Linked DNA regions of Arabidopsis thaliana. The protein of the gene in region 1 interacts with the protein of each later gene in a pairwise test. Each region holds a gene or a part of one and is shown on either strand. Other genes may lie near its edges.

Region 1 (7,741 bases):
TCAAGCAGCAGAAACTGCTAGTAAGCAGCATTTAGACATCATAAAGAAGTTGGCGAAACTCGAAGCTGAGTGCAGGAAGCTTAGGATTTTGGCTAAAACATCATCATCGCTATCATCTAATCAATCTGTGGATAGTCATTCAGATGGAGGAAGGGAGAGAGTTGAGGGGAGTTGCTCTGATTCATGGGCATCATCAGCATTTATTTCTGAGTTAGATCAAATCAAGAATGAAAAAGGCGGCAATAGAAGTCTTCAGGGCACTACTTCATCAACTGAAATTGATCTCATGGATGATTTCCTTGAGATGGAACGTCTTGTGGCTCTTCCTACTGAGACACAGGCTAAAAACTCCAAGGATGGATATGAATTGAGCTTAATGGAGAAGTTGGAGAAGATACAAGCAGAAAAGGATGATCTTGAAAGAGAAGTTAAATGTTGTAGAGAAGCGGAAAAGAGATTGAGCTTAGAGATTGAAGCAGTTGTTGGTGACAAAATGGAGTTGGAAGATATGTTAAAGAGGGTGGAAGCTGAGAAAGCTGAGCTAAAGACATCTTTTGACGTGCTCAAAGATAAATATCAAGAGTCAAGAGTTTGTTTTCAAGAAGTTGACACAAAGTTGGAGAAGCTACAAGCAGAAAAGGATGAGCTTGACAGTGAAGTTATTTGTTGTAAAGAAGCAGAGAAGAGATTCAGCTTAGAACTCGAAGCTGTAGTTGGTGACAAAATTGAGATGGAAGATGAGTTGGAGAAGATGGAAGCTGAGAAAGCTGAGCTAAAGATATCTTTTGACGTAATTAAAGATCAATATCAAGAATCTAGAGTTTGTTTTCAAGAAGTTGAGATGAAGTTGGAAGCGATGAAAAGGGAGCTTAAACTAGCTAATGAATCGAAAACACAAGCCGAATCTCGGGTGACCAGAATGGAAGCAGAGGTGAGAAAGGAGAGGATTGTCTCTGATGGGCTAAAGGAAAAGTGTGAGACATTTGAAGAAGAGCTTAGAAGAGAGATAGAAGAGAAGACAATGATCAAGAGAGAAAAAGTGGAACCAAAGATCAAACAGGTATAGCTTTTTATTTTTCTGATCACCAATTAGTCTTTTTTTCTTTTTCTTAATCCTTGTTTCACTAAAAGCTGATTCTATTGCAGGAAGACATAGCAACAGCTGCAGGAAAATTTGCAGATTGTCAGAAAACAATAGCATCACTTGGGAAACAGCTACAATCTCTTGCAACACTAGAAGAATTCTTGATCGATACAGCTAGCATTCCAGGTTCTGCAAGGTCAGTTCACAACAAGGAAGCTTTGTTAGGAAAAGATCCTCATGAGTGCATCAAAACAATCAATGGAAGATCACTTGAGTTTCTTGCAATCCAGAACAGCAATAACAAGACCTCACCTCCTTGTTCATCTTCTTCGGACTCAACAACAGTGTCATTAATTATGTCATCAAACCGAGGGAGTTCTGAGAAGAATCGCAACGGATTTGCCACGGTTTTCACTCGAAGTAGAAACTCAGTAAATTTGGGGATTTAGGAGAAGCAATAGGTTCGTTCTTGGAGTATAGCTAGAATCAATCTGTTGTTAAGCTGGATTTCTTACCATAATTTTCAGATTCTGACTTGTTAGTAGCAAAAAGATCACCCTTGTTTCTTTTGCTACATAGTGTAATCTTCTTAACGTTTATGTCTTGTGAGATTCATCTTTGTTATTTCACTGTCACCAGTTTGATGGTCTCATATGATGCATTGTCACCAAGTAAAATATTGATTTTTGTTTTGTTTGGTTAGATAAAGACAAAGAAAACTGCAATCTGTGGTGCTGCTGAACTGCTGATGTTGAATCTATTCATTGGTCGTGTCTAAAATACAATATTTTGGATTAGATTCTAAACTGGTACATGCAACAGAACAAGCACCTGAGGTTCTATGGTGTAGTGGTTAGCACTCTGGACTTTGAATCCAGCGACCTGGGTTCGACTCCCGGTAGGACCTCTCATGCTCTTGCATTTTTTTTTCTTCCAAACATTGGTGGAAACTGAACCGGACCAAACTTCATCAACTCAACACTAAACAAACTTTCCTAATAGATTGAAAAGATTATACCAAAATTTAACTGAATAAACCAAAGTTCATTAAGATTAACTTTTATATAATGATTATGATATATAAATCACAACCAAAGATCAAACCAAAATTCTAATTTGGTTCCGTTTCCCCAAACACAAGAAGAAAAAAAGTCTGTTGACTGTAATCATCAAGAAATAACATTTACATGTAGTTTTCCTATAGAGAGATACATACAAATCTGAAAGCTATTAGAACTTAGTAGCAAAGCCTCAGATATAAACAAGAGATGAGTGGGTAGTATTCATACAACAACAAACCATAGATTCGGTAATGGATTGCCTCTAAATTAGCTATTATTCTCCATGGTCGTGAAGGTTGCCGTTCTCTTGGTTTCTTCTGTGGCTTCTCTCTCTTCTGAAAGCATGAAACAGATCCAACCCGAGGCCAACATTAAGAATGTTCATTCCTGCCATACCAGACAGAGCGAGTGGTAACTCCACGCCTTTCCCAAACTTGTGTGCGTCTTTGATCAGCTTGATAGTGATGAGAATGTGAGGAATGCATCTCGCAAACACAAAGGCTGTCCAGTTTAATACCCACTCCAGTTTCACCAATGCTGTGTTGCTGTCTCGGATTCCTGCCATTCTCCTTAGCTTCCTCACGTGTAGAAAGATCGAATGCATCTGTTTACACATCCGAATAACAGAGGTGTCACTTTTGTTCGAACAAGTAGATGTTGTAGAGTTGAGTCTATATCTAACTAGATTGTTATATATGAAACTAGTCTAGTTTAACTAGAGAATGTTAGCATAGATTCGGTAAAGAACAGAGAAAAGCCAGGGCAAGTTTTCAGGAAGAAAAAAGTGGAACGTACCTCACAGATGAGAGTAAGAATAAGGTAGTTGATGGTTACATTTCGGTATAGTGCCAATGTGAAGCAAACAAGGAGGACTAGATGGTGAACAAGAATAGAAGGTATTAAGCCGCTGTATAACCGGTACTGAAGCATATCCCACTGGTCATATGCAAAGTAGCCGCATGAGAAACACAAAGCTGGATATGCCCATTTCCAAGTCCCACCAACCAACTCAGAATGATCAAACATCTCGTCTAAACCTTTGGCTAAGCATTGATTGAGAAGTATGAAAACCACTGTAGTAACACAAGAGCAGTGTTGAAGATGAAAAATCATAATCAGTAAGGCTTAACGAAGAAAGAACTGCATTATACTCAAGCTATGGCAATCAATCATAAGACTAATCCAATCGGAAATAAGAATCACATTAAGCAATGAAACCGTGAAAACACAGCACCAAAGGAAAATTGACTAATACCAACGACCAATGTGCACACCTATGATAAAATTTCCCCACTAACAGAGCACAATCCTATAGTAAGAACTCAAATATAAGAGAAGAGAGAAAGGGACCTGATGCGGAGGTGATGATTGAGTGCAAAAGCGAGACAGAGGTATTAACAAATATAGGGTCACGAGAAATCCATGAACGAACAACCCAATTCATCAATTGAAAGAAGCATCCACCGCAAATCACCCAGAGAAGCTCCGTCCGGAGATTGAAAGCAATCTCAAACACGACGGAGACAAGCCAAAGAAGCAGCGTCGCTAAGAAAAACTGCCCAGCCCCATTCTTCTTCCCTCCTGAACTCCCAATCCCGTTCCTCGCCATCGAAACCTCACTGTCTCTCTCGGAGATTGCTTGAGAATCCGGCAAAGTTAACCCTAAATTGGATTCTTAGCTCAAACTTCGATATCCATTTCCAATTTTGGCGGAAGAGACGATACAAATGCCTTCACGTTATAAGCTTTACTTTGGGACGCAACGGACACGTGTCGGTCGATACTTCATCCTCCTGATGCTGACTCATCTAATTAAAACAAAAAACGTACGATTTCAACATCGACAAAATTATCATATTTTGTGCCGACATTCGATGTCGACAGTCATTAGGCCTAGTCACAGCCCATTTGAAAGGCTCGGCCCATTTGAGAGGCTCGGTACACCAAACTAGAGGCAAATCCACTCAATACTATACATTAGACAGAGTGATACAACAAAATCCAGAGTTGTTGTTAGTTACACACACAGAAGAGAACAAGAAGACTATAAACAAAACACCATCAAGCTGAAATGTTCAAAGTATGTGTGTAAGTGTATATTAGACCGGTTTCCACACAGACAAAACCTCTTGAAACATCTCCAGCATCAGTTCTCGATCAGCTTGCCTGAAGAAACTGCTGATTTCTTCTCTGACATCATAAATCTTTCCGAAATCAAACAAATACATCAAACACCCTTTCTTCAGTTTCTCCAGCTGATAAAGCCAAGCTTCTTGTAGCCTCTCGAGCACATTACTCGAGTTTATATCTTCCATTAGGCTCTCCTCGCAGGCTGCTTTCAAATCCGTTATGTCGTACTTGTTTGCAGCGCCGAGGAGGGCGAGCCTGTGTTTCCAGAACTCTTCTTGGGTTATGTTTCCGTAGAGGTAACTTAGTAGAGCCATGCAAGATTCTCTCGACATGTCGTCTATGTGGATTGTGGATGATTCCTTTTCCATGAGGTCGTGGTGGAACATGCTTTTGAAAACAGTTGAGCTAGCTGAGAGGATAGCTTTGTGAGCAGAGAGTGTTCCATCGGCTGTGTGGATGATTACATCGGTTAGTATGCTTTCCTCTAGCATCCGGGATAAGCATTTGAGAGTGGTTTGAGTAGAGATTGATTGCATTGTTGCATCGGTTGGCCAAACAGGAGAAGCTTCACCACCCTGGATTATGATTTGATTTGATCAACCATGGAAGTACAAATGTTACAAAGAGAAGAAATTGTGAGAGTATAAATAGAATCATTAAGCTTACATTCACAGGGCAGATTTTGAGATCAAGAAACTCAACATCAATGGTGAATCGACCGTGGAAACTGGAGTCAACATGCCACACACAATCATCAGTTGTACGCAGCAGCTTCTCATAAACTGCACCAAATAAACAGAGTATCTCAGCTTAAACAAACCTAATTCAGTTGTAACCATCCCATAAGGTACTACTAATCATCAGCCAATCATTAACATCTAAATTAATATCTTTCAGATTCCACATAATTGAATATAGTTCCCACATAAAAGGTAATTCCCTTTCCTGAAATACCTAATTCGAGCTCGACAATAGAATTCAAATTCCAAATCCAGAAAAGTCAATTCAAAGACAAGACATACCAGGAGAGATGTAGAATCTACGATTGGGGCCAACGTTGGAGACACGAAGAACAAATTTGGCAACAGGAGGTTGCTCTTTAGATACTCGAGAAAGTTCTGGGAATAGCCTCACTGATAGATAGCGATTCCTCTCTATAGACAGATGCCTTCATCATATCCCAAAACAAACAAAAATCAAAATTCCGAAGAAAATTTACCAAAATAAACCAAAAATGAAAAGCTTACCAATTCCAAATTCCGACTTTGAAAGGATCGGACTTTTTGAAAGAACAAGGACCAAAATTTTCAATTCTCCATTGAGCTAACCTCGAGATTGTCTCTACCTTCGTGTCCCCCATCCACTTTCTCTCTGAAGTTTTGACTTCCTTTTCTCTCTGAACTCTTTACTTCACGCCAAATAACACGACGAAGCAAGCAAAACACTCTGCCGCCTCCATCGCCTGCCACGTGTACGACGATTATACGTTTTTATCCATTAAACCGGTTTACTAACGATATATTAAAATCAATTCTCGGTTTGAAATGAAAGAGAGTGGACTTAGACTTAGAGAGATAACAGATAAAATGGCGACGGGGACGGCGACGGAGAAACCGAAGATCGTGTGGAACGAAGGAAGACATAGATTCGAGACTGATGATCACGAAGCCTTCATAGAGTACAAGATGAAGAATGACGGTAAAGTCATGGATCTGGTTCGAACCTTCGTACCGCCGTCAAAAGCAGGACTTGGTTTAGCTTCGCATCTATGCGTCGCCGCTTTCGAACACGCCTCTGAACACTCTTTCTCCATCATCCCCACTTGCTCCTACGTTTCCGTATACATCTCTTCTTTCCTCAAAAAATTGAGATGAATCAGATTCTTATGAAAATATGTCGTGTTTTGCAGGAAACGTTTCTTCATCGAAACCCAACGTGGCAGCGTCTGGTTCACTCAGAGGATGATTCCAAGAACCTCAAGTCTAGCATCTGATCAAGTCCTGCTTTAAAGCCTTTTGGTGTATAATAAAAACTTGAAAACATTATCTTACAATAGTAAAGCTTGTTTCAAGTAATCTCTGTAAACAAACAAAAATCCCAAAATGTATGTTTTTCACAATTCGACAGCAACAAACAAACACTAATGTTTGTCGTAACAATAAATATAACGTGAAAACATTATTCTATGATACATTTTTGTACAGAAACTTCGATGTGTCTCTTTAGCCAGTGACATAGTAATCCATTTTCTCCGGTGGCAAGTTCAGAACCGATTCGTCAACCTAATAACATCAAGGAAGATATTCAGATCAAATCAATGTAACTAAGATTATAGGTGGGAAGAGTATACAATAATTTATAGTTTACTTACCTCTTCGAAAGGAACGAAGACGAATGCAGTCATACCCCTCTTGTGTGAGACGGCAGGTATATCCGGGTTGTGAGTTTCATCGTCTTCCCAACCTTCAACTAACCCAAGAATGTCTTCTTCTGTGCTGCTTATTTCCTCATCGTTCACACCACTTGTCACAAGTGACAGCAAATCCATCCTGTTATTCGCTCCAATAGCTGTTCCTCTTAACCTAACCACACCCGAAAACATATCCACACCAAGAAGATCAAAATGACTATCAGCTACTAAAAATTTCAACCCCATCACATTCACCGGATCAGATAAGTCTTAGATGAATGTACTAGACACGGTACTTTAAAAGATAAGTAACAGGCCTTCTTCCCAATGCCAGACCAAGGTTCTAAATGCTATTACTAAAAAGAAGTCTTCTCTATCCACATATTTTGAGGGATTGAAGTACCTTAAACGAATCCTTAAGACAGTAGGGCGTGTCCCTGGGTACAGAACAGCTGCTTCGATCTGCAAAAAGAACATGTTTTTCAGTAATCAGGATTATGAAGATGTAATGTTGTTGATTACCAGCCAAAAGGCAGTAGAGGGAGCTAACCTTATCATCCGACATTGACAGTGTATAAGTGCCTTTGTAAAGATTTTCAGATTTAGAAGCCTTAAAGTTCATGTACTTGGCAACATCCTTCAATTTCTGTGAAGAGTTCTGAAGGAATAACAACAAATACGGATGGATCATTATCAGACTAGATCCCACCAGTAGCTCAACGTTTATACCTACTTATATCGAAGAGTGCAAACCTTGTAAAGAAATCTGCCAGAAGGGTAGAACCTTATGTAGCGGTAGTAACAAACCTGCAACAAATTTTCCAAAAGAAGACGCAGATTATTATATGTGTCTGTATTGGACAGATGAAGAAGAAAAGAAAGAAAAAGACAAAGACTTTACAATGTGAACTGGATTTGTAATCTTCCACTCAGCAATTCCAGCTCGAATGTAAGTATTCCTACTCACATAAAGACCTGAGAAGAAGATACATAGTTACTTTAATCAATAAAGATATAACAAGACACGATGTTAGTCAGAGCATACAAAAGAAAACA
Region 2 (8,023 bases), 6.7 Mb from region 1:
AGAATATCTAAACTACAAGAACGTATCTTATTGCTTATGGTGGTACAACAATTGTAGCAGTTGTGACATTTGTTATGGGTTTCACATTTACAAAGATCTACACCAGTTCTGCTCCAGATTTAGGCATCACAGGTTTGGTCAAGAAAGCAGTGTTCATAGTTTTTCTGGTTTGCAATAGCATTCCAGTGCTCTTGTCTGTCATAGCTACAATGAATCTTATTTGGCCACAACATCTGGGTGATATTCCTCTGATACAGCAAGCTATGAAACGAGCCATGGTACTTATCATGTTTGCTTTTTGGTCTATGGTTGTTGCATTTGCATTTGGAGTTTGTCTTGTATTGATGCTCCTTCCATGGCATTCCTTCCATGTCTTTAGCTCCAAAGCACATAAGTGATGTGTATGTAGGTTTGTGAACATTTTCCATTACACATTCAAGCTCTTGATTGTTTCTATCTGCAATCTTTCATAAGTTCGTTCACAGTGATTGATCAAATATGTTGTCTTTTAATTTGGTGTGGTCTCTGATACAGTTCCTCTGTTTCTGGGGACTAAATTGTCACAAAAGTTAAATTTGTGGGTCAAATCACAATTTCAAATAGTTTCTAAAAGTCGTCCCCGCCGTCGCTACGCACCTTCATCAAAATCAAATCACAATTTCCTTGGCTCACTCGCTCTCACCGGCTGCGAAACCAACGAGAGATTCCACAAAATCGAATCTTTTGTACAATGGACAAAGGAGTTGTGGTAGAGCTGATTAGAGGGTCGACCAGTTGGGCCAAAGTTGTGGAAGATATCGTGAAGCTGGAGAAGAAAACGTTCCCTAAACACGAATCTCTCGCTCAAACTTTCGATGCAGAGCTGCGTAAGAAAAACGCCGGTTTGCTATACGTGGATGCTGAAGGAGACACAGTAGGCTATGCCATGTATTCTTGGCCATCTTCGCTTTCCGCTTCAATCACCAAGCTCGCAGGTATAGACAAACGTCCGCCAACTGTTCGATGAAATTACTCAGTGATAAAATTCAGAAAATATAATTTCGTTAGAGAAGAAGTGGAATTATTCTGCCAAACTTCTACTGAAAAATCTTTCAACCATTTGATAAATTAACCTGTAGATTATTATATAGTCAAGGACCAATGATTCTGGTAAATTCGAGAGCTTTCAATAGAAATTCTGACTAGACAAAGCCCTTGTTCTAGCTTTGGTTTTGCATGCTTAAAGATTAATGGAGATAGCTCATAAGTCAAGAACACGTATGGAATTTTTCTTATTAGGCAAGTTAAGAGCAAAAACATTAGGAAGAATGTATCCCAAGTTTACTTTCTTCTGTTGTTTTGGAATCATGTAGTGAAGGAGAATTGCAGAAGACAAGGTCATGGAGAAGCATTGTTGAGAGCGGCTATCGACAAGTGCAGAAGCAGAAAGGTGCAACGGGTTTCACTTCATGTCGACCCCACGAGAACTTCTGCGGTGAATCTGTACAAAAAGCTTGGGTTCCAAGTAGACTGTCTAGTGAAAAGCTACTACTCGGCTGATAGAGATGCTTACAGAATGTACCTAGATTTTGATGACTCTATTTAGCCCAAAAGGATTGAATCATTGGATTTGGGGTTATATATGTATTCCCATATCTTGGCTTGGGCTTGATATGCCTTGTACACATTCATTGATTACTTCTCTACATCAACATATTACATATGTCTAGCGAGTTTTTGATATTTTACGATGCAAGATGAAATCATCTTGGGACCATCAACTTATCAACTTCTTCACAATATAGAATGAGATTTTTAATCGTTTTCATGTTAGGAAGTGGTGTAAGATTTCATAATAGAAGATTTTTAATCTTATCATCGATGGTCGACCAAAATGAGAAATGGCATTTGATAGTGTTTTGAAACGTTTTTGTAAGTATTATAATGTAATATTTTATCAAATAATCCCAAGCGGGGATAGCTCAGTTGGGAGAGCGTCAGACTGAAGATCTGAAGGTCGCGTGTTCGATCCACGCTCACCGCATTTTTCTAAAACCTTTTAATCGATTTAAACGACATCGTGTTAAAAAATTAGGTCGTAAGAAAGGCCCATTATGAAAAGATCCACGACATAATCCACCAAACCGCATTCTTTTGTACTTTAAATTAATTTTAAACGACATCTGTTAAAGAATGAGGCAAAACGACGACGTGTTAGAGAAAAGGCACACTAGAAAAGATCCACGACATGATATCCCACCAATTCTCGCCGGTGTTAACCGTTTTGTAATTCCGATCATCGGGTAATTCTCGAAGAGAGAAGAAAGATGTTAGATTCTCTAAGACCGAAGACTCTTATCGGTTAAATTTTACTCGGGATTACGATGCAGTTCGTTGGTCGTGTCTCAACAACAGTAACGATTCATGTCCCCATCTCAACTATGGAGCAATCTACGAATCATCAGTCTAATTGTAAGTGTCTTCAGATTCGAATTCGATGATTAACTCTATTGAAATGCATTCGAATGATTAGTCTGATTGATCATACTTATTGTACATGTCACAAAACATAGTAATCTATATGAATTTGCATATCAAAAATCTTGAGTTCATGCCAAACCAACAAGCTTCTCGCTAACCTCCCACAGTTTCTTTGCCTTCTCCGCATCACTTGCTTCTTTAGAAAGCTGATTCTCAAACGAAGACGAGTTATTGTTCCAACTCCAATACACTCCTGACTTCCCAAGACTAGGGTCACTCACAACCTAAAACAAAACCACATCCTCAGTATCAATCAATAATCTGTTATACATATATTAGAAAGGATTTGCAATGCAAACTGACCTGTGCTAGTCTTTTGCCAGCTTCCTCTTCAGATACGTAACCTTTGGTGATATACTTTTGAAAAGGCGGAAAAAGAAGCCGAAACAGCGGTATGTGTTCTCTGAACAACCCTGTTGTAGCGATGCAACCAGGGTAAAGAGAAGCAAACGTGACTCCTGTTTCCTCGTGGTAACGTCTGTGAAGCTCCTGCATTGTCAGCATATTGCATACTTTGCTGTCTTTGTAAGCCTTTGCTCCATCAAACTCTCCTCCATCTATCATTGAACTGTTTTGCCCATTCAATCCTGACGCTAAGCCTCTTAGGTCTCCAAGGTTTGCCTTTGGCGGTACATTCCCAGCCAAAGTATTTGTGTTTCCTGCAAGAACATAGAAAAGAACATTCATTGTTTGATACTAGGAACTATCTTGGTGGAAATGGACAAGTTGTCTGTGTTATTTACCTGTTATAGATCCTACGATGATCATACGTTTTGATGGATAATCAGATTTTTTCAGGTCATCAAGAAGCAATCTTGAGAGAAGAAAGTGACCGAGATGGTTGGTTCCAACGCTTATCTCAAAGCCTTCAGCTGTAAAAGAAGGCTCTTTAGCAGTTGGTTGGTAAACCGCGGCATTGCAGACAAGAACATCGAGTGGTTGTTCTGTTCTCCGGAAATTTTCAACGAATTGCTTCACGCTTTCAAGCGAAGCAAGATCAAGATGCATCACTGTGTAATCTTCCTTGGACATTCCAACAGATCTCGCTGCCTTCTCGGCCTTGAGAAAGTTCCTGCAAGCCATGATCACATGCCATTTCCCTGTGTCTGCTAAAGCTTTGGCCGTAGCTAAACCTAAACCAGACGAAGCTCCAGTGATCACTGCAGTGCCTTTTCTCTCAGTCTTCTTTTGCTCCGGCGATGCTTCGTTTGCCGGCGGCGTGGCTGTAACTGTCTGTGCACGAATACCGGTGGAAAATCGCGGTTTCTGTCTTCTCTGTTCCTGCAACGAAACAGAGTATAAACCTCAGGACGTTTTCGATATCTTTTTTTGAGAATTTCACATCGTATAGGGTGATTGACTTTACCTTGATGGTCAACAGGGTGGATATCTTTTCAGCTCTAAGATGGTTTGAAAATGAAGAACCAGTAAAAGTCGTCTCCTTTAGAGAAGCATTGAATTTGCCCTGCAAAATCACCATTGCATTGAGGTAAATTCTTCATTTTATCGAAAACAAATCATAACAAGATGGAAATCATTACTAATGGTGAAAACATACCTCTTTTTGGATTGAAATGGTAGAAGGAAGAAGAGAATAGGCAGCTTGGAGAGCCATTGTTGTACGGAACTGAAGGTGCTAGAGTGTCACAGTGTCTTCGATTTTCCCCGAATTGAGGAGCGACAGAAGATAAGGTAGTTTTGGGTTAGTGACACGTGTCTTCCAGGCTACAGCTTTTTCCCTCAACCAATCAGATCACTAGTTTCAGATTCTTCATCTCTCGTTTATTGGGCCTTGAGATGGGCTTTAATATTGTTTTGTTAACTCTCAACTGATCTGATCACCGTTGATAGGTGAACTGTAATGAATCTGGACCGTCCAAATGTGTCAAGAACAATTTGGTGGAAGAGAGAAGAAGGCGGCAACTTAACGGTCAATGGAGAGGTGGGAGAAAGAAAACAAAAACGAAAAAAGAGAGAGAAAAAAAAACACTTTTGGATCACACAGCTCTCTTCATCTTCTACAATTTCTAAAAGTTGCAAAATTCCAATGAAAATTTCCATTTTTGCCTCTATTTTATTTTATTTTCTTCTTCTACTTCATCTCTTTTCTTTTCCTCCTCCGTCGTCACGGTTTCTAGACCATCTCCTCCTCCTCCTCCATTGTCTTGTTCATATGCCTATAACAGGTAACTTTTTCCCCCCTCATCTTTTTAATCAATCATAACGATTTTTGCTTGTGAAATTTGATTTGATCATCATTGTTTGCTAATTATATTTTCAAGGGTAATTTCATTGTAAAGTTTTAAACTTTACATAAAAGTTATGAAAAGAAAACATCCTTTAATTGCGCTATTATGTTAGCTACAACTTTTAGAGAAACCTTTTTGAGCCCAATTATACCAAAATTTGACTAAGTGAAAATGGAAATGATGATGGAACTTTTGAATATTTAGAAATCGAATTAGAACTTTAGCTCATTTATATTTAGTCATTTTGATTCTATCATCTTCTTGTCATTCTCTAAATTAACTCAAAGGAGTAAATAAAAATACAAATACAAAATTTATACAGAACAACCCACAATTCTGTCTAGTTTAGTTAAACGTGTTAAAATAGTCACGCAATGCTTTTTCTATTTTTAAAAATTAATAAGCTCTGACCTGTACGCAACCAAATAAAACACTAAAACTTATCTGTGATCAACTTAGCTCTGTATAAAAATCTTCCTCCTCTTTCTTTCTGTCCAATTCTCTACAGAGAAGTCTTAGCTTTTGCAAAATCATTAACTAATCTCTGTTTTGATGACTAGATAACTTGGATGTAGGATTATTATACCTAAATTCTTTCTTTCCATGCATTTATGTCGGTTTTGACATCTTTGTTCTCTTAGTTTAAAAGATATCAATATTAGTTATCTTCTATTCTTTGAACATTTGTGTCCATCTCATGAAGTTCAGGAAGCGTAGGCAATACTTTCCTGCTTGTTCGTCTCATCGCCAAGTAATGATCTCTTCGTCATCTTCTTCTTCTCCAAACTCATATCAAATTTGAATCTTATCATCAAATTGAGAGTAATCAACGACACCACTGCAATCTTGCATATACATTGTTCTTGTGTATTCCACCCGTTTCTTTAATCTTCAATGTACCGTAATTGAGTGTCGTTTTGGTTGTAACTTGTAAGTGAATTAAGCTCACTCAAACTTTCTGATCTTCAGAGTTGATCTTTTTTTTTTTTTATGTTCTGCAGCTAATGTTATACGCAAACATATGTCTGAAAACGTTTGCAGGTAGAGGAGGATGAAGCGTGGGAAAGGCGAGAAAAAGGCAACAAAGAGCCGCGATGGCAGCGGTCAAGTAGTTCCGCTCACGTAATAGCTCATTTGGCTAAATATTTGTTTTAGTGAGTATATATTGCTAGATATATCATAGGGTATAAATGACACACCATAGAAATATGCATGTGATTAGTTTATTAGATACATAATTTAGATCTATTATCTCATATATGAATATAATTTTCTATTAGTGAACCAGTGGTTACAGCTACGGGTATGGTTGGAACAAGATCATGGATAGGAGGGCTCTTCACACGCTCCAATAGACGTCAAGACAAGGCAGTCGACTACACTTTGTCTCCTCTTCAGGTTAGCATAATCACAAGTTTCATATATCTTCATAAAATGAAATCAAGACATTATAAATAGTTTGTAACACTTTTGGATCTGTGTAAATCAATCATACATAGGAGGAAAGACTTCAAAGGCTGCAAGATCGTATGGTTGTACCTTTCGACGAGACACGTCCTGATCATCAGGTAGGTGAATTCACTTTATCAGTAAGATGTTTAACGCAGTGAGCAAACAACATGCAGATATATTGTTTTAGCTATAAGAATTCTGTGAAATATATTTGCGTGATTAATGGCAGGAATCACTTAAAGCATTGTGGAACGTCGCGTTTCCGAATGTTCATCTCACGGGTTTAGTAACAGAACAATGGAAAGAAATGGGATGGCAAGGTCCCAATCCATCTACCGATTTCAGGTAAGATTTGATCTATACTTAACTTATTGCAAAAAAGATCTTAAGGAAAAATACTTAGTGTTGACGCCTGTTTTGTTAAACATTTGTTTTGTAGGGGTTGCGGATTTATCGCTCTAGAAAATTTACTATTTTCTGCAAGAACTTATCCGGTAAATTACTCGTAAATACATGTTCATATATACTTAAACTTTTTTTAATAATCATGGTTTGGGAACTTCTTTGCTCCACAAAATAATGTGTTTATACAAATAAAAATTGTGAAGGTTTGTTTCCGGAGGCTATTGTTAAAACAAAGAGGCGACCGGGCAAAGTGGGAGTACCCTTTTGCAGTGGCCGGAATCAACATCTCCTTCATGTTGATCCAAATGCTCGATTTACAAAATAATCGTAAGTTTCTTAAACTGTCACCATTTTATTCAGGTCATACTTGTTATTTTCACATACGATTTCGATTCTAAAAGGCTTTAAATTCATGTTTTGTTTTTTGTGCAGCAAAGCCAAAATGTCTTCCAGGAATGAATTTCCTCAAACTCTTAGAAGGTAAACAATAGGAATATGTTCTTTTAAACTGAATAAAACCTTCTTTCTAAAAGTTAGTAGTGTAGTATGACGATCGCTAAATAATCAAGAATCATATTCCAATGATTAACAGAAGACGAGAGGGCATTCGATGTACTATACTGTATAGCTTTCGCGATGATGGATGCTCAATGGCTTGCAATGCACGCTTCTTACATGGAATTCAATGTATCTCTTCTCACTCAATCTATCAACTTTCTCTTTTCATTTTTTTTTTTTTTTGAGAATTAGTTCTTAATAATTGTATATATCTGTGTGTGTTTATCAGGAAGTATTACAAGCAACTCGGAATCAGCTGGAGAGAGAGCTTTCTTTGGATGATATTCATCGGATTCAAGATCTTCCTGCCTACAATCTCTTGTTCCAATAGATTTTTTTTTCTTTTGTTATTTTCTTAGTTTGATTTCGATTTTTATGTTTTGTACATTAACCTGAATTTATGACCGAAATGAAAATGATAATCAATGAAGCCAAAACACATAAATAGAAAATGAATGATAATGAACGTATGTTCTATATGATGCATCACTGTTTGGTAACATGATGATGATGGTGTGGAAATTATGAACTGGTAGTGGACTTTGTGACTTTTGTACTTTGAAAAATCAACTCTCTTGTCTCCCTCGTATTATATGAATTATGAAATATTTTGTCGGTTCTTTTAATATGCTAAGTGAGTGGTTTATGGTTGGTTGATTTTATATGACATAATATAGATTAATTCTGATAAAAGATCTTCAGACCAAACTAATTACTTCGATTGTCCTTGTCGGCAGTCATTTGCTCATCCTGACCGTTATTTATTTTGATAAAATTCGGTCTGATTTTTTGACCTTTTTTGTATAAAACTTAAATAAAAATAAAAGATAAGGTTCTTC
Region 3 (7,966 bases), on another chromosome or scaffold:
AATACTGAGATACTTGGAGAAGATTGGCCTATGCATATGGAGAAGATCTGCTCCCGTGCTTCAGATAAGTAAAGAACAAACATCATAGGTTAGATACATAGCATTTGAGTTTTCTGGTTTGGTTTGCGCTGTTGAAAAAAGTTACTGGGATGGTCCAAGTTTCAATGGAAGAAGGTTTTGAAGAGAAGAAGGGTGGGTCTTCTTGATGTTGTACAAGTTCAGATAATAGAGTGAGATTTAAGTAAGAGTTTTTTTTGAAGTAAACGACATTTTGTTTAGCTGATTTGTTTTTCTCTCATGTGTATTTTTCCTTGTTTGCTCTCTGATGTAAACAAAGTTAATAATGAAAGCAAAAAAGGCTTCTTGAAAAGATTCGTGTGAATATTTCATTTGTCTGGTCAAAGTCACTAAATATTACATTGGAATGTTAAAACCCAAACTGAAGTAAAAAGCTTAAAACAAAAAGCGCAAGACATAATCATACTATGAGACATGTCCAAATGCCTCGAAGACAAACGATCAACTTATTTAAAAAAATGCATGGGTGATTGATTCAATTCACCAAACTGTTGCAGTAAGAGCATTCACTAATAAATCCACATGACGGTTTGGTCCACTGGATATAAACACATTGTCAAACCACTCAAGCGTTCCCCAAATTTCTCCATTTTGGCGTTTTTGAATCGCAATTTCCGCACACCAAATCTTTGTTTCGTCATCAACTAACACATACTCCTCCCAAGAAATCGCCAATTTTCCACAATGATCCGCCGATTTAAAATTTCTATAATAATTAGTAAAAGTAGGCAGTCCTTCCAAACCCTTCAAAGCTGCCCATTCTCTTTTCTTGAGGTCATACCAACGTACATCCCCAAGACTGCAACGGTAGAACACGTTCTCTATCACACAACAAGATGATGGATCCAGACTCCATCCATGATTCAGGCATATGTCTGCCCCTCTCCATTTACCTTTATGCATCTTGTAAGTGACATCTTTTTCCCTAGACCCTACATAGACGGTTCTTTGATAACTTATGCTTAAGTACTCAGAGCCTTTGCATACCTCCTCGCTAGGGATCTGTAAAAACTCCCAAGTTTGAGTCTTCGTATCAAAAATCTCCATCCAATTCATTGAATTGAGATTTTCGCAGCCTCCCGTAACATATATTCTCCCATCGAGGGTACAAGCAGATGGAAACACACGGGCCACCCGCATGCTTGGAGCTTCACGCCATGTGTGAGAACGAGAGTCCATAACCATAACGCTAGACAAAGCGTTATAAGTCTTTGATCCAGTTGCATTTATCGAAGCGTTTTTATTCTCTGATCCACCGCCAATGGCATATATCTCATGACCGACCACTACAAAACCCGGCAGGGCTGCGGAAGTAAAATTGGGAGATGAAATCGGGACCAAAACTTTTTTGGAGCTATTTGGTCCCTGGTAGATAATGAACCAATGTAGTTGTTCAGAATCGGTATGGAGTCGTACGCACACGTAAAGACAACTCTCCGTTCCGCCTAAGAGGATTCGGGTTTGGTAAAGCTCCTTTGAAGCAAGAAGAAAGCGAAATTTTTTGGAGACTAATGAGAGAGTTGGATAATGTAATCTTGAGACGCGAGCTAAGCAGTTAAATACCAAATCATCAGGAAGCATTAGAAATCTTTTAATCGAGGGTTCTTCTCCATATTCCATGGTTGTTGATCACTTTTTTTCTCTTACGGTTGTTGATAGAGAGCGGAAGCTAAATATCGGACGAGAACACAAGATCTCTAGGAGAACTCGGATTTACAAACGGATCTTGCTTAGAACGTCAAAACTTGATGAAGAAGCAATAGAGATAAAGTCGAGATCGGTAGTGATATCGACTTGGTTTTGCAAGCCCTTAGGGTTGAGAGTCCTCCTCTCTAGGCTTTATAGAAAGCTCTCTTAAAACTCTTTATTCAATAATCCAAAACTAATCTATTCTACAACGTAAGGATTCTTTAAATAAGAATCAGAAACAAAGACCCTAATTCTAAAAAGAAGTTAAAAGCCAAACACGTAAAGCCCACATCTTTAATAAAGTCCATAAACTACTAAATCATGAATGAGAAACAATAAAGAGGCTTGGTCACGACGAGGCCCATCAAAGGCGTGAACAAAGCAAAGATGCGCTGCATCAGTTGCTTATTAAGTAAGAACTTGCTTTTTTTAACAAAACAAAAAAAAGTAAGAAATTGTTTTTTGCATAAGCTTCTTTTTGTCTCGACTATTCTTGTCTATATTGTTTATATATAGATTCCTAATCTCATTGGGAGTTTTTCAACGTGTTTGGAAGTATAGTAAGTTTCTAATTTTCTATAACAAAACGTATATTCTCTTCACTTGAAGAATTTACTGATATTCAAAAAAAGAACTAGAAGAATTTACTTTTTTTTTTTATCATTCCTTTTTACTAAATTGTTTTGTTTTGTTCTTTGTGTGCTCTTTCTTCTGGTACAGATATATATGCGGACCTACGTACAAGAAAGGACCCTAAATTTCTAAAATTTTACTTACTGTTATGAGAAAACAATACATTTGGCATATCAATTTTTTTTGTTACAAGCTGTCGCACTGCTACCTGCTACCCTACCAATCTGGGACGCGTATAAGATTGAGAACAAAAACCATATTTTAGCATACATAGCATTTGGTTTGACTCCGTTGGTCTCGTGTAAATTTTCCGTCTTTGTTAACCGTACTGATGTAACTAAGGATTAATATAAAAGACTTGTGTCAACAGTTTCCTTTGCCTGGTAAAGACTCAAAAAGTTGATCGAAGCTAAAGAACCACCATTTTACTCAAATATTACATGGAATACTAAACATAGAATTGAATTAAATCTAAGAGTGTAAGACATGTCCAAATGCACAGTTTTCCCCAAAACTCCTTACATTATATCCTCCTAAAATCTGGAGAGAGGAAACAAAGAATGTTGAAGAATGCCCTGTTTCTTTTAGTAAAAGTGTTTTTTGGCTTCATTTCTTCATTTCTAAACTGAGAGAGTTTCCCAGAGAGCTTTTTCAAATTTCAATGGCGGTTGGCGTCGCACGGCTTGCCATATAAGTTATGTAGATTGTCCATAGATACGAAAACGAGTTGCTCACAAGTGGCTGCAGACAAAAAGAAACCAGACTTCAGTTGATAACCAAAACTCACGATAAGACAAAATGAATGCAGCAAATATATGATCTGTCTTGAACAAAAGGTTAACCAAAGTGAAGCTAAGTTGGAAATAAAGTGGTAGGTATCAATCATACATACCTGTAAATAAACAGGGCAGAACTTGAAAGTAATAAAATCACACAAAGGCCAATACATGACACCATTAAGCATTGTGGGAAGTAGGTCCCTTTTCAATCTAGCAACTATCTCTGAACCATTTTCACCTGAAAAAATAATTGAAAATCAGACTTTGATGTCATCAAGAATAGCTTAGGATCAAATTCTAACAACAATTCTCCTCTCTTCAAACGCCATTTAGAGAAAGAATGTAACATCAAACAACCTGCTCTATAACAACCCTTAAGATTGAAGGTCAACAGGATCTAGAGTTTCAGAAAAATCATACTTTTATATGTTGCTCAAAGAAGAATATATAGACTATAAGAAAGGAACCAGTTGATTATTTTTCATGTACAGCTGAAAGCTTACCCTGTAGGGCTGCATTCAGTGAGAAGAAAACAACATTCATGGCAGGCCCATAGACTGTCTGTCCCATGGCCATTTTCTTAAACGTTGTGATCAAATCTCGTTTTGGGAAGAGACTTGACATGAGATTGAACCAATAGTGAAGTGTAGGACCCAAGATTAATAACCCATATCCTCCCATCCTTGCTGTTCTTACCAAGTCATAAGAATCCACTGAAGCTTGTGGAATTGTCTGTTGAAAGATCAAACAAGTCACACTTTTGTCAACAACAATACAAGAACAAAGAAACGTAAGCAAATATAACAACTCAATTCACATAAAACCCGCTACTACATCCACATTACTAAGAATCGATCATTACTTCTTAATCTAGAAGTAATTCTTGTCCTATCTCAAATCTCTAAAGCACAATGGAGATACAGTGACTTCTACTATTACCATTTGTTAGAAAACACAATGGAATCTTAGGACTGAATCAACAAGAACATAATCACAGAATATCTAAAATCTGATTTGTAGGCTTACAAAACAAAAATGAGATAGATTTTTGAAATTACCTGCGAAGACAAATCGGCTGCTATGTAAATAAGCGAGGACGTGACGGATTTGGTAAGAACCGGCCGAGATTTCACCATTCCCAAATACCATCCGATGAATCCTGCTGTAGAGACCGTCGAAGAAGACGAAGACGAAGACGAACAGAAACCAGAGACACCTGTTTCCTTTGCTTTCCCGAGAAACTGAGGCGTACGATAAAAAGGCCTCGACTGCAATCGCTGGATGTTTCCTCCTATCGGTAAAGGGTCGAGCTTTCCAAAAGGATTCGTCATCGTTGCTCGCTGTAATCGAAAGATCCGAGCGGCGTCGGAAGCAGCGTTTCTAAACAATGCGCCGGTCATTGTCGTGTGATGGCTCCGAGAGTTTTGGGGGTTCAGGGAAGGGTTTTATATATAACGGCGGTGGAGAAGAAGAAACAGAGCTCTGTTTTTTTAAAAAGTTTAAATGCCAATAAATAATGAAACACACAATTTGTATATTTCGCGAGTATAAAGGTTTTTCTACTCGCGTCTCGTACCATTGCAATCGTTCTTCATAAATTAGTTTTGTTCTTAATAAATTAATTAATCATGCCTTTTCTAGATACAGAATTGTCGAGATCTTTCCTAATAACCGAAGTTTTTGTGAAAGCTATAGTGTTACTTAGCACATTGATTATATATAAGCCAACAAATTGATTATTATTTATTATTAGCTAATCACTCAATAAACTCAAAAGCCAAGCCAAATTATTGGAGAAAATAACCTTTCCAATTTCTATGTTAGGCGGAGGAAAGAGTGCCTGAAGGCTGAAGAGCGCGTGACCGTCAAAGGTGGACGGTTCAAAAACCAAACATCCCCAAACTGTTTCTGTTCTGTAGTGTTCTAGGGTTGTTTACACGTCCTGTTCACATTGGTTAGTGTCGACGTCATCACTTCTGACACGTAAAACTTAATTCAGTGACGCTAACCTTTAGTAGAAGCCACGTGTTGCGTTCGTGTCCCAAGTTCCGACTTTTAGCCACTTTTTATGAACTCTTTTATTTTTATATATTTAGTCAAAAAGAACGTAGATCATTGGAAGAGAAGATTCTCTTATTTTCTGTCGGCAATTTTTCGAAGATTCTAAACCAAACTAAACGTAGATGATGTCACACACACAAAAAAAAACAAAAATTATTATCGGTATCACTCATGACTCATGTGTCCACAAAAACTCGAATAAAAAGATGGTCCCTGGTGTGTAAGCTCAGATACATTTTTTATATATATAACATGGACAAAATAATTTTCCATTTAATAGATACAAATACAATCATACAACACATTTTGTTAAGTTATAAGGGAAAAAATTAGTACACATTGCAAATTAACAAGAGACTTGACGGACTCAAACGAGCAGTAAATACTCAATACCAAGTAATCAGAACACCCAAATCGATCCACACTTGTCATCACTTCTGTGTTAATCTTATAAGTTCTTATATTTCTTTTACTGAAATATCAAACAACAAGAAACTTCTATTGTTCAAATGATATTTCGAACCAAGTTTTCATTATCAGGTTTTAATTTTTGTATCATTCGCATTATAAGAAAGCTAAATAGTTACACTGTTTCAGCGAAGAACTGTACACGAGGGATCCAGCAGCAGATTTTTAGTCAAAAGATAGAAGCTGTGAGACTGAGATAGATATATGGAAAAAAACCTAACTTATTCTTCCTGGTCTTGGTCTCTGATCCATTTGGTTGCCACCCATTTCTCTCCTTTGGTCACCGGGCAGCTCCCGTGAAGCGAAGTCTGCAGAAGCATTGGAACCACAGCAAAGAGCTCCTATTAGCATGAACTAATCCAAGGAATAGGAGTCAAGAGAAGAAATGAAATGTGTTCAAACTTTGTTTACCTGATCAATCGTTCCATTTGGAAACACGGAATAAAAAAGAAGACCATCTCCTTTCCGAGGCTTTACTTTCAACCCAATACATTGCTTGTAATCGTATCCGATGCCCATATTAGAACCGTTCTGTTAAATAGAAAGCGTTTAAATGGAATCAAAACTAACGAAAGGGTCTGTATAATAAGTAAGCAAATAATATATTATAAACTGACCTCAAATGGGAACATGGTTTCACCGCCTTCTTCAACATCAGATAAGTACAACAGGAAGGAGGCAATCTGCGTAAATTCAAATGAGGTCTCGGGTTCTAAAGAAAGCTATAAATATGACAGATTTAAGGATTTTACCCTTTGGCTTGATTGTGGTCCATATTCTGTTGGGTTGAAAACATCATAGTGGGAATCATACTTTTGGCCAAGTTCATACCGTAAAATATTGAATGACTGCCAAAAACATCAAATCTCGTACAATTAAAGGGGTGATAAGCACTAAACCAAAGGCCATCAAGCCTACGTTTGCCACTTTCAACATGCCTTAGTTTTACGATTCACATAGATTTGGGAAGTAGAGAATCATACCTCTCCATGGGACCTTGGGATCATCGTAGCTCTTGCGATTTTCCTTTCAACAAAATCCAGAGCACCAGTACTCTCTTCTGAAGCACTGATAAAAGTTCCTGAGCTGTATAACAACAACACACCAGGCAAAAACACTGAGGCTACTGATGAATGTTCGAAACATGAAACTAGAAAGAAAGAAAGACCTTGTTCTAGTGCCCTTAGTGTTCTCAGCAGTTTCTCCTTTCCGGAGAGCCAAAGCAGAAGGTTTCAGATTAACCTTTGCTCTCTCAATAATAGCTTGGCATTGTTCTGCAGTTGCAAAATTCGGAAAATATATAGCCCTAGGTCTCCAACTAAGTACCTGCCAATTTTAAACCAAATAATCCATAAAGATGAAGTACTAAATTTCACTAGTTGACTAATTGCTAAAAAACACAATACTCTCACTCACACTCATGGTCACCACACATGAACAAAAAAACAAAGTTCAATTAGATAATCAAATGCACAATCTTGCCCTAACTAATCGATTTCACCTAATTTGCCAATCCAAACATCTTAAAAGTCAAAAAATTAGCAACAAAATCAGACCTGAAAAGGAATCGATCCAATAGATTCTTCTCCAGTAACACCATGAGGCATCGAGCTAGCTTCTTCTTCCCCATTCTCAACCATATCCAACATTCTCAACCTGGGTTTAACACGAGGCACATTCTGATCCCAAACATAGAACCCTCGATTAGTCACAAAACCAAGCTAAAGACTCCAATCACATCTAAAGAGTACAGAGTAAAAGATCAGAGAGTTTCCACACCTGAGAAAGTAGAGTGGAGCCATAGAAACCGAAGAGGAAACAGAGAGAACAGAAGACGATAACTGTGGCTAACCCTAGCTTCTTCCTCCTGTAGCTCTTCAATCTGCTCTTCATCGAGCCTTCTTCCTTCCGATCAGATTAAGTTTCCGATGGAAATCTTCGCCGGCGTAAACGATCAGATAAGTTTCCGATGAAAATCTTCGCCGGCGTAACGAACCTCAATATCGGGACGCCTTTCGTCGATCCAATGAAGCACCACAAATTTCTATTTACTTTAAAATATATTGTTTTATAGTTTAATGATCAGATCTCGTTGACCAGTTTGTCATTTTCTTCACTGGTCAACAAATACAAAAAAATGCGCCGAATTTATCCTTTTTTTTGGTTGAAGTTTGGTTGCGTAGAGTGGTTTAAGTTTTGGTTCGATGGAACTTGAACGTTTTTGTGATTTGAATTAGGTGGGCTTCTTTTGAGTTGTT
Region 4 (8,186 bases), 7.7 Mb from region 1:
CTTGATTTCAAGCATTGCTAGTTCCTGTCTGATTCTAGCTCTCTTATCTTGAATTGATATTACAAACTTGTGGAAATATCTGGCTTTGAAAATCTTTTTCCATATATAGAAGTATCTTAGACCTCAAGCAACAAACTAATTTCCAAGTTTGGGGATATTGAGTAGTCTCTGATCCAATAAGAATTGTTGGGTTCTTTTTTTTTTTTTGTGTGTGTGTGTGCAGCATCTGTTGTGGAAGTTGGTCTTCGCCTATCTTCTTCTAGACTGTTGTATCCTTTTGTTTTATAATCTTTTACTATCAAAGTGTAGCTAGCAGATGTGTAGTTGGTGAGATTCATCGGCAAACTTATTTGAAAAGCCCTGAACTCATCATAGATAGAAGCTTGCTACTGAGAAAAAGTGATGAAGAATCGAGCTTTTCTGATAGCCCTGTTCTTCTATCTATAAAGGTTAGATCGTTTCTTTTTAATGGACTTAATTAGATTTTTTTTCCTTTAAGGTTTAAATGATTTAAGTCATTGAGATTGTTTAGAAAGGGTAATAATTTCGCATTTGAAACAGGTTCTGATTGGTGTCTTATCTGCAAACGCTGCATTTATCATCTCTTTTGCCATTGCGACTAAGGGTTTGCTAAATGAAGTTTCCAGGTGATTACTGATTCTTCTTCTTCTTAGTTCTTATTATGAGTTTTTCATCAAAGATCTCAGACTTCTGTCACCTGAAGATTGTTTATGTATAATTTTTTTTAAAAACTTTGCAGAAGAAGAGAGATTATGTTGGGGATATTCATCTCTAGTTACTTCAAGATATTTCTGCTTGCGATGTTGGTATGTTGTAGCTTTACCTCTCACTTAATTCCTAATATTGAAGTTCCAAACTTCTTAAGCATTCCATAAATCATGCACTAAAGTTTCTTGTATTGATTAAACATGGTGTTATGTCTCTTTGCTCAAAAATAGAGAATCTTTGTTATTACAGGTATGGGAATTCCCAATGTCAGTGATTTTTTTTGTCGATATACTTCTCTTAACATCAAACTCCATGGCTCTTAAAGGTCAGACCTTCAAAATGTTCTCAATGCAAATTGTTTTTTGTTGTTGTTATTTTGGAATCTCACAATGCAAGTTTGTCTTTAAACCAGTGATGACTGAATCAACAATGACCAGATGCATAGCCGTATGCTTAATCGCGCACTTGATTAGATTCTTGGTGGGTCAGATTTTTGAGCCGACAATATTTTTGATACAAATTGGATCTCTGTTGCAATATATGTCTTATTTTTTCAGAATCGTATGATCCCATCAGCTTCCAGTATAGTCTTTTGGTTTGAAGATAAGAGAAACCTTTACATTATTATACCATACTGTATTTTATGACTAAGCCAAATATTATCGCCACCAAAAATTGAATTAGACCTTACTAAAATATCAAAAGTTAATTGTTGGTCTGTTACTCTGTGCGGGCGGATATAACTCAACCACCTACAATTATTTGCCCTACAAAAACCTTGTTCCTCACGATATCGTCGCTCCATCTTTCTTGGAATGCTGGGCATATGTGGTGGTACCCTCCTTGGAATGGTGGGCATATGTGGAACCCTCCTATGAATGTTGGAGATATGTGGGACTCTCCTATGAATGTGGGGCATCAACACATTGTTGCAACACCAAGTGAATGTCATAGGAAAGACGAGGAGACGGTTGAAGCCGAAGTTGAGGCTCCCCTTGATTCTTATCCGGAGAATGCTACTACCATGGCGAGAAAGCAACCAAAGGCAAGTTAAATATCTGAAAATGTTGAGAATTCTGATGATAACTAAAGCATTGAAACGAATATTGGGTTAACTTAATAATACTTATGCTTATTTTCAAGTCTCGTTTTGTTTTAATTGACTACACTATACTTCTTAGATCCGTTATGTATATATAATTTGACCTCTTGAACCAGAATGATCCAGCCAATGATGGAGATGAACAATAAGAAGCCAATGATCATGTTCTTGAGATAGTTCCACTGTGAATTCCTTTGACTCATCTCCTCTAAAACAATCCAGTTATGATGCTTAGTTGGAGCTTTCTTCTTCAGCCATTTTCCATTCCCACCCGTTTTTCTATAGACATATCACCTGCAACCCCAAGTCCATCATAATCCACAGTTGAAGATGTATTGTTTGAGATTTTGTATCGAAGTCATGTTACGCAGTGACATTGTTAACACCTTTTCATTTCCTTGCAAATGCAACTTTGGTTGCTAAATGAATCTTTGAGCCAACACCCTTTACTCATATTTGGGTCTCATGTAAAATCCCTTTCTTATACAAGACTATATATCACTTTATTTATATAAACTACACCACAAAACGATGCACTAATTATTATTACATATACTTTTTTCCAATTCATATATATGATTTTCTGCATTTTTCTTCTCTCTTCTTTCCCCCTTTTTCTCTTCTTTACATACTAATAAAATATAACTTCAAACTTTTCCGGAGCGAGAAAACAGAGCAAAGAAAAAAAAACAAAAAAAAACACACATTCTAAGAAATACAAATTTTGAGCAAGAATCCGATTTGACCTCTTAACCAACAAGAATGATCCAACTAATGACGGAGATGAACAACAAGACACCAATGATCATGTTCTTGAGATAGTTCCACTGTGCATTCTCCAAAACAATCCAGCTCTGCTTCACCGTGTTGGTGGATGGAGGTATCTTGATCGAGTCTTCAGCCATTTTCCACTCGCATTCGCTTTTCTGCGAACTTATCACCTGAAAGCAGACCCATAGCTCATAATTTAGAGGTCATTTGACTAAATCTTTTTGATGAAATGTTGATTCAGATTTCGTATCAAAGTCATGTTTCTCAGTGAGAGTGTTAAACCTTTTCTTTGCTCTGCTGCTTTGGTTGCTCTTGTGCCTTATAATTGTGCAAAGGCTCAATAATGTTCAATGATGGAATATCATCTATACGAGTATGGCCCGGTTCATCTGAACTACCAACACTATCAGTGGAGCTCGAAGTGTCTTCGAAAATCTGTTAAAAGCCAAAATTCAGCGTGTGAGATATAGAAGCGATATAGGTTGTGATTATATATGAGTAAAAAAAGCTTACCATTGATCCAGTTTCAGTATCACTGCTATCATCAGGCAAAACCCCAGACACAGGTTTTTTGGGCCGGTGATCACTGTAATGCTGTTGCATAGATGTCCTTTCATCTACCAAAAACTCAAAATTTTCTTCAATCACATGCTTCCAAATCATCTCCGACTCATTTTCATAAGGTGCCAAGTAAGGAACTTGCTGTTGCAGGTCGATATAGTCACTCAGCCACTGACCGCCGTGATTTGCAAAATCATACTCAAGGAGAGGGTTGAATGATCCTTGAAGTGGTTGCTGCTGCATAATGTTAGAGTTTTCATTAAACTGCTGGCCATGATTTGCTGAATCATACTCAGAGTAAGTGTTGTAAGATCCTGAATTTCGTTGACGTGATTGGTTGACCTGAAACGAATCAACAGTTTAGGAAAACATCAAATCAGTAGACACAAGCTCTTTTTTGATCTGCCTACTCAAAGCTAAGTGTATATGGAGAAAGACTCACCACAGAACCTGCACTACTAGTCATATTGGGGACAAAAGCGGGAGTGGGATCTATTGCATAAGCAGATAGAATGTCCGCATCATCACCCTTGTACTCAAGTCTGCAGATGACATATGTCCTCTGTAAAATTTCCGGAGGTAAGCACATAAGTTCATCAGTATAAAACATTGGTGAGAGTAAGCTAAGCCTAAAATAGCTGCTGAACCTAAATAGAGTTACATTACATAGTTTCTAATTTGCATAACTCAAATTCTAACTATGAATCAGCAGAAACCACATATATATATATCCACATATATATATATATATATATATGAATAGAAGAAAACCTGATGTTCTGGTAAGAGGTCGTAGTGGAACTCGTGGATAACCCAATCAGATTTGGTTTTGTCAGGGTATCTTCCATCGAGGAACACCAAAACCCTTTTATGACCAATCTTACCACGAAAGCCCTCACTACAAAATCCCCACTGGTCCTTGACCTCAACAGATTCTCCGGTAAGCTTCCATTTACCAGAAACCGTTGTCCTGCTCTGTCGATTCCCTTTGTTGTTTTCTCTACGAGAGAAGAAGTACCACATAGCATCTCTCGATTTGTACTTTGACTGGACTGTTCAAAACAAAAAAAAACCCTAAAATCAAAAACCTAAATCGATTACTTGCAAATGAAATTCAGAAAATTCGGAACTTACAGCGCAAGTTCCAAGGATCGTAGCTACAGATGTTGACCTCGCTGATGGCTACTTCAACGTCGCGGCTAGTGTTTCCTTCGATTTTGTTACGGAGATAGTGACCAACGAGCTCCTCGTCGTTCGGACGGAACCCAAACCCAACTTGATCCTCCATTTTCACTAAACCGTCCGATTTCAATGGTTTCCGGGTAAAGAGCTTCGCCGTCGATCTCTCTCGCTCTCTGTAATCTGTATTTCTCCGATTATGTATTTGTTTTCTCTGGTTTGGTATATCTAATAATTTGGAGGGAGGAAGACAGTGAAGTCAGCGTTTAAATAAGACAATTTATTCCTTTTATTTTTATTTTCTTAATTAAATTAATATGGATCTCCGGTTTAATTGGTATGGTTTTACCGGTCCTAACAATTTTAAAGATTATTAAAACAATTGATGGTATGAAATTTCATGTAGTAAACCGAGTAGTATTAACTATTAAGATTTATTAGTCTTAATCATATTATTTTTTACTTATGATGGTTTAGAATTTTAATCAATGTAAGTAAACAGAGTTCAGATTTAAACCAATTTAACAATTAAAAAAGATTTAATAATAAATTTTATAAAATCGGTTTGGGTGAACCGTGGATTGAATATCATCCTCTGTAGAAATTTGTATTCCCCTTTTAGTATTATAATAGAAGAACATATAAAATTTAAATAAATATAAATTAAGCCTTATAAAGGAAGGCTGGGAAGCTGCTGGGCGGTAATAATGGGTCCCTCCCAAAGCAAAACAAAGGAGAGCAACTCGAATCTGTCTTCTAGATTATGTGTGTGAACACGCCAAATATTTTCATCTCATTCGTTTTTTAACATTAATAAGAGTGTGCTTATTTTTAATCTTGAATCCTATCGATATGTTGTTAAATCCATCTAGAAGGTTGACTTTTTGAATCGCTGGCTAATTGTTAGCTTTTAATTTTGACCATGTTGTTTTGCTTGTCGCAAATGGTTCGTGGGGTTGCATTTTATCATGGAACAATGTATGTGTCTTACGAACTCATAACGATTGAGCCGTTTTCCAAACCGAACAAAATAATAACGTAACATCTTTAAAAGCATCCACGCCAGTAGATAACATACACATAGTAGGAAGTAGGTGATTAGAAAACTCTAATATCCCTAGAAAATTAGTACTAGTGTGGGATGCATGCAATTATCTAGTGGCTCTCATTAGTCACTAACGTGTGGTAGGTTCAAGTCTTCCTAAGTGAAGTTTTAATATTGGCAGAAATAGCAATATCTTTTAACAAACAAATAAAACCAGCATTATATCTCTGCCTACCTTTTCTTTCTACTTTTTTCTTTTGTCTTTTGGGGGTTTAGATAATAGATTGTTTCTACTTTTTGGATTTATCATGGTCGTTGGTATGCTTGTGAGTTGTGACTAGAAACGTTATGACATGCCTTCATAACAAGCCAAAATTTAAGGTAACGAAAGCGATATGTTGATGTATGGATTTCTTATTTTTCGCCACAACTAAAAAACATGGCTTTGGTGAAGAGAGGAAAAAATAATATAGGTTTAAAGATAGGATATATAGCTGTAGATATAGCTAAGATGATGAAAAAGGAACGACATTCTAAAAACAAAATCTACAAGGAGATTTGATTTCGTATCTCCAAATGACTTAAACAACATTCATGACCAAAATTTTCTTTTACTTTTGAATTTATGCGTATTATAAATTTAGAAGATAGCTCTTACCAAAACATAAAAGAGAACAAGTGGTTTGAAATGTTGACCAATATATGGGACTTTCATTGCAAGAAAGATGATAGTGAAAAAAATTAAAATAAAAATATAATAGGAGTCAAACATAATGAGGGGAATAATACTTTTGTTGTCGCTGGTTTGATATCACATGAAACATTTTACTATGAATACATGGTTAATATTTTTTATGCTGAGTAAATAAATATAAGTATCGAAATAGCATATATGTATATGGGGTTTTTGGAAGATTTTAGTGTCCAGACACTGAATTATTCTTTTAACAAAGTGAGTGACCAAAACTTAGAATTAGATTAAAACCCTGTAAAATATTGTTTTAAAAACTGTCTTTGATCCCTTCTTGTCATTGTTGGCATTCTCGTACCTATTTCCAAATTCATTCATGCATTTGGACAAATGATGATGTATGATATGGTCCATATCATATGGAGATAGATGTGGATGGAAGAACACATTATAAAAACAAAATCTTAAAGGAGATTTGATTTCGTATCTCCAAATGACGGAACCTTGGCCACATTCAGGACCAAAACTTCATTCACATCTTCCATATACAGTAATTAGAAGATTACCCAAACAAAAGTAAGAACATGACACGTGCTTTCACATGTTGACCAATTGGGGACTTCCCTTGTAAGAAAAGATTTTACTCATATACAATGAGAAGTCAAACTTCATTCACATCTTCCATAACATAACGACACTGACTCTTTACCTAATTTTTCTATGATCATTGAATCAAAGGTTCCTCTAATTCAACATCTCATTTATATAATCTAGATAGATAGAAAAAAAGTAAGTGAGAAGAAATCTCGGGATCTTTGGTGTTTCTCTGACCATTTTATAAGAATGTATTACTTATAAATTTATGAAAGAAAAATCAAGCAGATGTGATTCATGGAGGAATCACAGAACTATCATTAATAATTACAACTTTTTTCAGTATGTCTCAAAAAGAAAAAGAAAAATAAAGAGAGTAAAAAACTCTTAACCATAAACTTATTTATTTGATTAAATTATATAAAATTGACTTCTCAATTTGGGGGGTGGGGGGGGGGGGGGGAGGTGGGGGGTGTTGCCACTTTCTGCTTCACAAGTTCTTAAGTCATAAGTGGAAAACTTCTAATAATTTATAACCAATTGTTGACATATACTTTTGCTTTTAGAAAGCATATGATTGTGGGAATAACGGGTATATGAGTTGATTTACAGATTTTATGTGTAAACGTGTGTCGATCATAATTTTATTTTAAATTATGAGTTGTATATGAGTTGACTTACAGATTACCTAATATCTACGACAAAGGTAAAATGGATAATTAATCAGGCGGAAGAACTTTGCAGTACCGAGAAGTCTTGAATCATCCAAATCACTCTAAAAAAAGAGGAATTTTGCAAAGAGAAACTACTTCAAAGAAGCAAAACAAACATCTAAAAATACTTTTTTGAGTGCCAAAATGTGTGCTACAAGGATAGAAATAGAGCATCGTCGAGGCGATAGCTTTTTTGATATGATGTGTCTTCAAACCACCAATCCTTTTGGCTAAGGATAAAATCATCAAGCAGAAGAACTTCAGAATAAATGCTAAAGGACCATCCCATATCATTGAGAGATGAGATGACAAGCGTAACAACAACGAAGAAAGACTTCATCCCTACAACTAAATAATTTTCCCACAAAAGATAAATTGATAGAACAAACATTTCCACAAAGGAGTAAGAATGACAATAAATGTCCAAACATAAACAGTCCAAACAATTAATAAGATTCTTGAGATAAACCAACCCTAAGGTTACAATAAGAGACTCACATTCCCAAATGTAGATCGTAGCAAAGCTTGTATCCAATATAACAAATGAAGATAAACCATCCATAGCTAAGTGAAGGAAAGAAAACCACAAGAAATAGGATTTGTATTGACCTCAAATGATATTTTTAAAAAATCTACACACAACAATAAGCAATTACATAAAAACGATAAAATTATCATTATATACACAATGATTTTCAACCAGAGAAACCGGTTTCGGGTTTAGGGAATTAGGTATTTAGGGATTCATGGATGTAGGATTTAAAGATTTAGGGATTTAGGGATTAAGGATTCAGAGGTTTA

The links.
Region 2: the proteins of AT1G21790 (region 1) and POR C interact in a two-hybrid assay, tested with the Arabidopsis thaliana proteins (one large-scale study listed by BioGRID).
Region 3: the proteins of AT1G21790 (region 1) and AT4G33905 interact in a two-hybrid assay, tested with the Arabidopsis thaliana proteins (one large-scale study listed by BioGRID).
Region 4: the proteins of AT1G21790 (region 1) and NAC001 interact in a two-hybrid assay, tested with the Arabidopsis thaliana proteins (one large-scale study listed by BioGRID).

Annotation. Positions count from the first base shown.
Region 1 is NC_003070.9:7,650,370-7,658,110, reverse strand, and holds AT1G21790 (TRAM, LAG1 and CLN8 (TLC) lipid-sensing domain containing protein), read right to left. Parts: upstream 4,024-7,741; 5' UTR 3,755-4,023; coding exon 3,496-3,754; intron 3,219-3,495; coding exon 2,941-3,218; intron 2,750-2,940; coding exon 2,420-2,749; 3' UTR 2,130-2,419; downstream 1-2,129. Other genes in the region: AT1G21810 (filament-like protein (DUF869)), read left to right, coding at 1-1,060, 1,147-1,533; AT1G21780 (BTB/POZ domain-containing protein), read right to left, coding at 4,245-4,850, 4,942-5,057, 5,298-5,443, 5,523-5,635; AT1G21770 (Acyl-CoA N-acyltransferases (NAT) superfamily protein), read left to right, coding at 5,862-6,113, 6,185-6,268; FBP7 (F-box protein 7), read right to left, coding at 6,498-6,557, 6,647-6,857, 7,089-7,147, 7,236-7,343, 7,439-7,492, 7,587-7,660.
Region 2 is NC_003070.9:903,811-911,833, reverse strand, and holds POR C (protochlorophyllide oxidoreductase C), read right to left. Parts: upstream 4,312-8,023; 5' UTR 4,136-4,311; coding exon 4,079-4,135; intron 3,986-4,078; coding exon 3,887-3,985; intron 3,802-3,886; coding exon 3,264-3,801; intron 3,180-3,263; coding exon 2,824-3,179; intron 2,745-2,823; coding exon 2,589-2,744; 3' UTR 2,184-2,588; downstream 1-2,183. Other genes in the region: AT1G03660 (Ankyrin-repeat containing protein), read left to right, coding at 75-398; AT1G03650 (Acyl-CoA N-acyltransferases (NAT) superfamily protein), read left to right, coding at 731-974, 1,353-1,585; AT1G03620 (ELMO/CED-12 family protein), read left to right, coding at 5,467-5,520, 5,811-5,923, 6,050-6,167, 6,269-6,337, 6,451-6,566, 6,661-6,715, 6,830-6,953, 7,059-7,106 and 2 more.
Region 3 is NC_003075.7:16,251,014-16,258,979, forward strand, and holds AT4G33905 (Peroxisomal membrane 22 kDa (Mpv17/PMP22) family protein), read right to left. Parts: upstream 4,748-7,966; 5' UTR 4,580-4,747; coding exon 4,238-4,579; intron 3,912-4,237; coding exon 3,683-3,911; intron 3,418-3,682; coding exon 3,293-3,417; intron 3,142-3,292; coding exon 3,052-3,141; 3' UTR 2,739-3,051; downstream 1-2,738. Other genes in the region: AT4G33890 (transcriptional regulator of RNA polII, SAGA, subunit), read left to right, coding at 1-72; AT4G33900 (Galactose oxidase/kelch repeat superfamily protein), read right to left, coding at 559-1,698; AT4G33910 (2-oxoglutarate (2OG) and Fe(II)-dependent oxygenase superfamily protein), read right to left, coding at 5,930-6,016, 6,120-6,239, 6,326-6,391, 6,461-6,556, 6,692-6,794, 6,877-7,034, 7,265-7,387, 7,488-7,601.
Region 4 is NC_003070.9:25-8,210, reverse strand, and holds NAC001 (NAC domain containing protein 1), read right to left. Parts: upstream 4,581-8,186; 5' UTR 4,452-4,580; coding exon 4,298-4,451; intron 4,216-4,297; coding exon 3,935-4,215; intron 3,726-3,934; coding exon 3,606-3,725; intron 3,506-3,605; coding exon 3,116-3,505; intron 3,038-3,115; coding exon 2,885-3,037; intron 2,773-2,884; coding exon 2,581-2,772; 3' UTR 2,312-2,580; downstream 1-2,311. Other genes in the region: ARV1 family protein, read left to right, coding at 224-269, 376-449, 562-647, 761-827, 979-1,054, 1,142-1,296.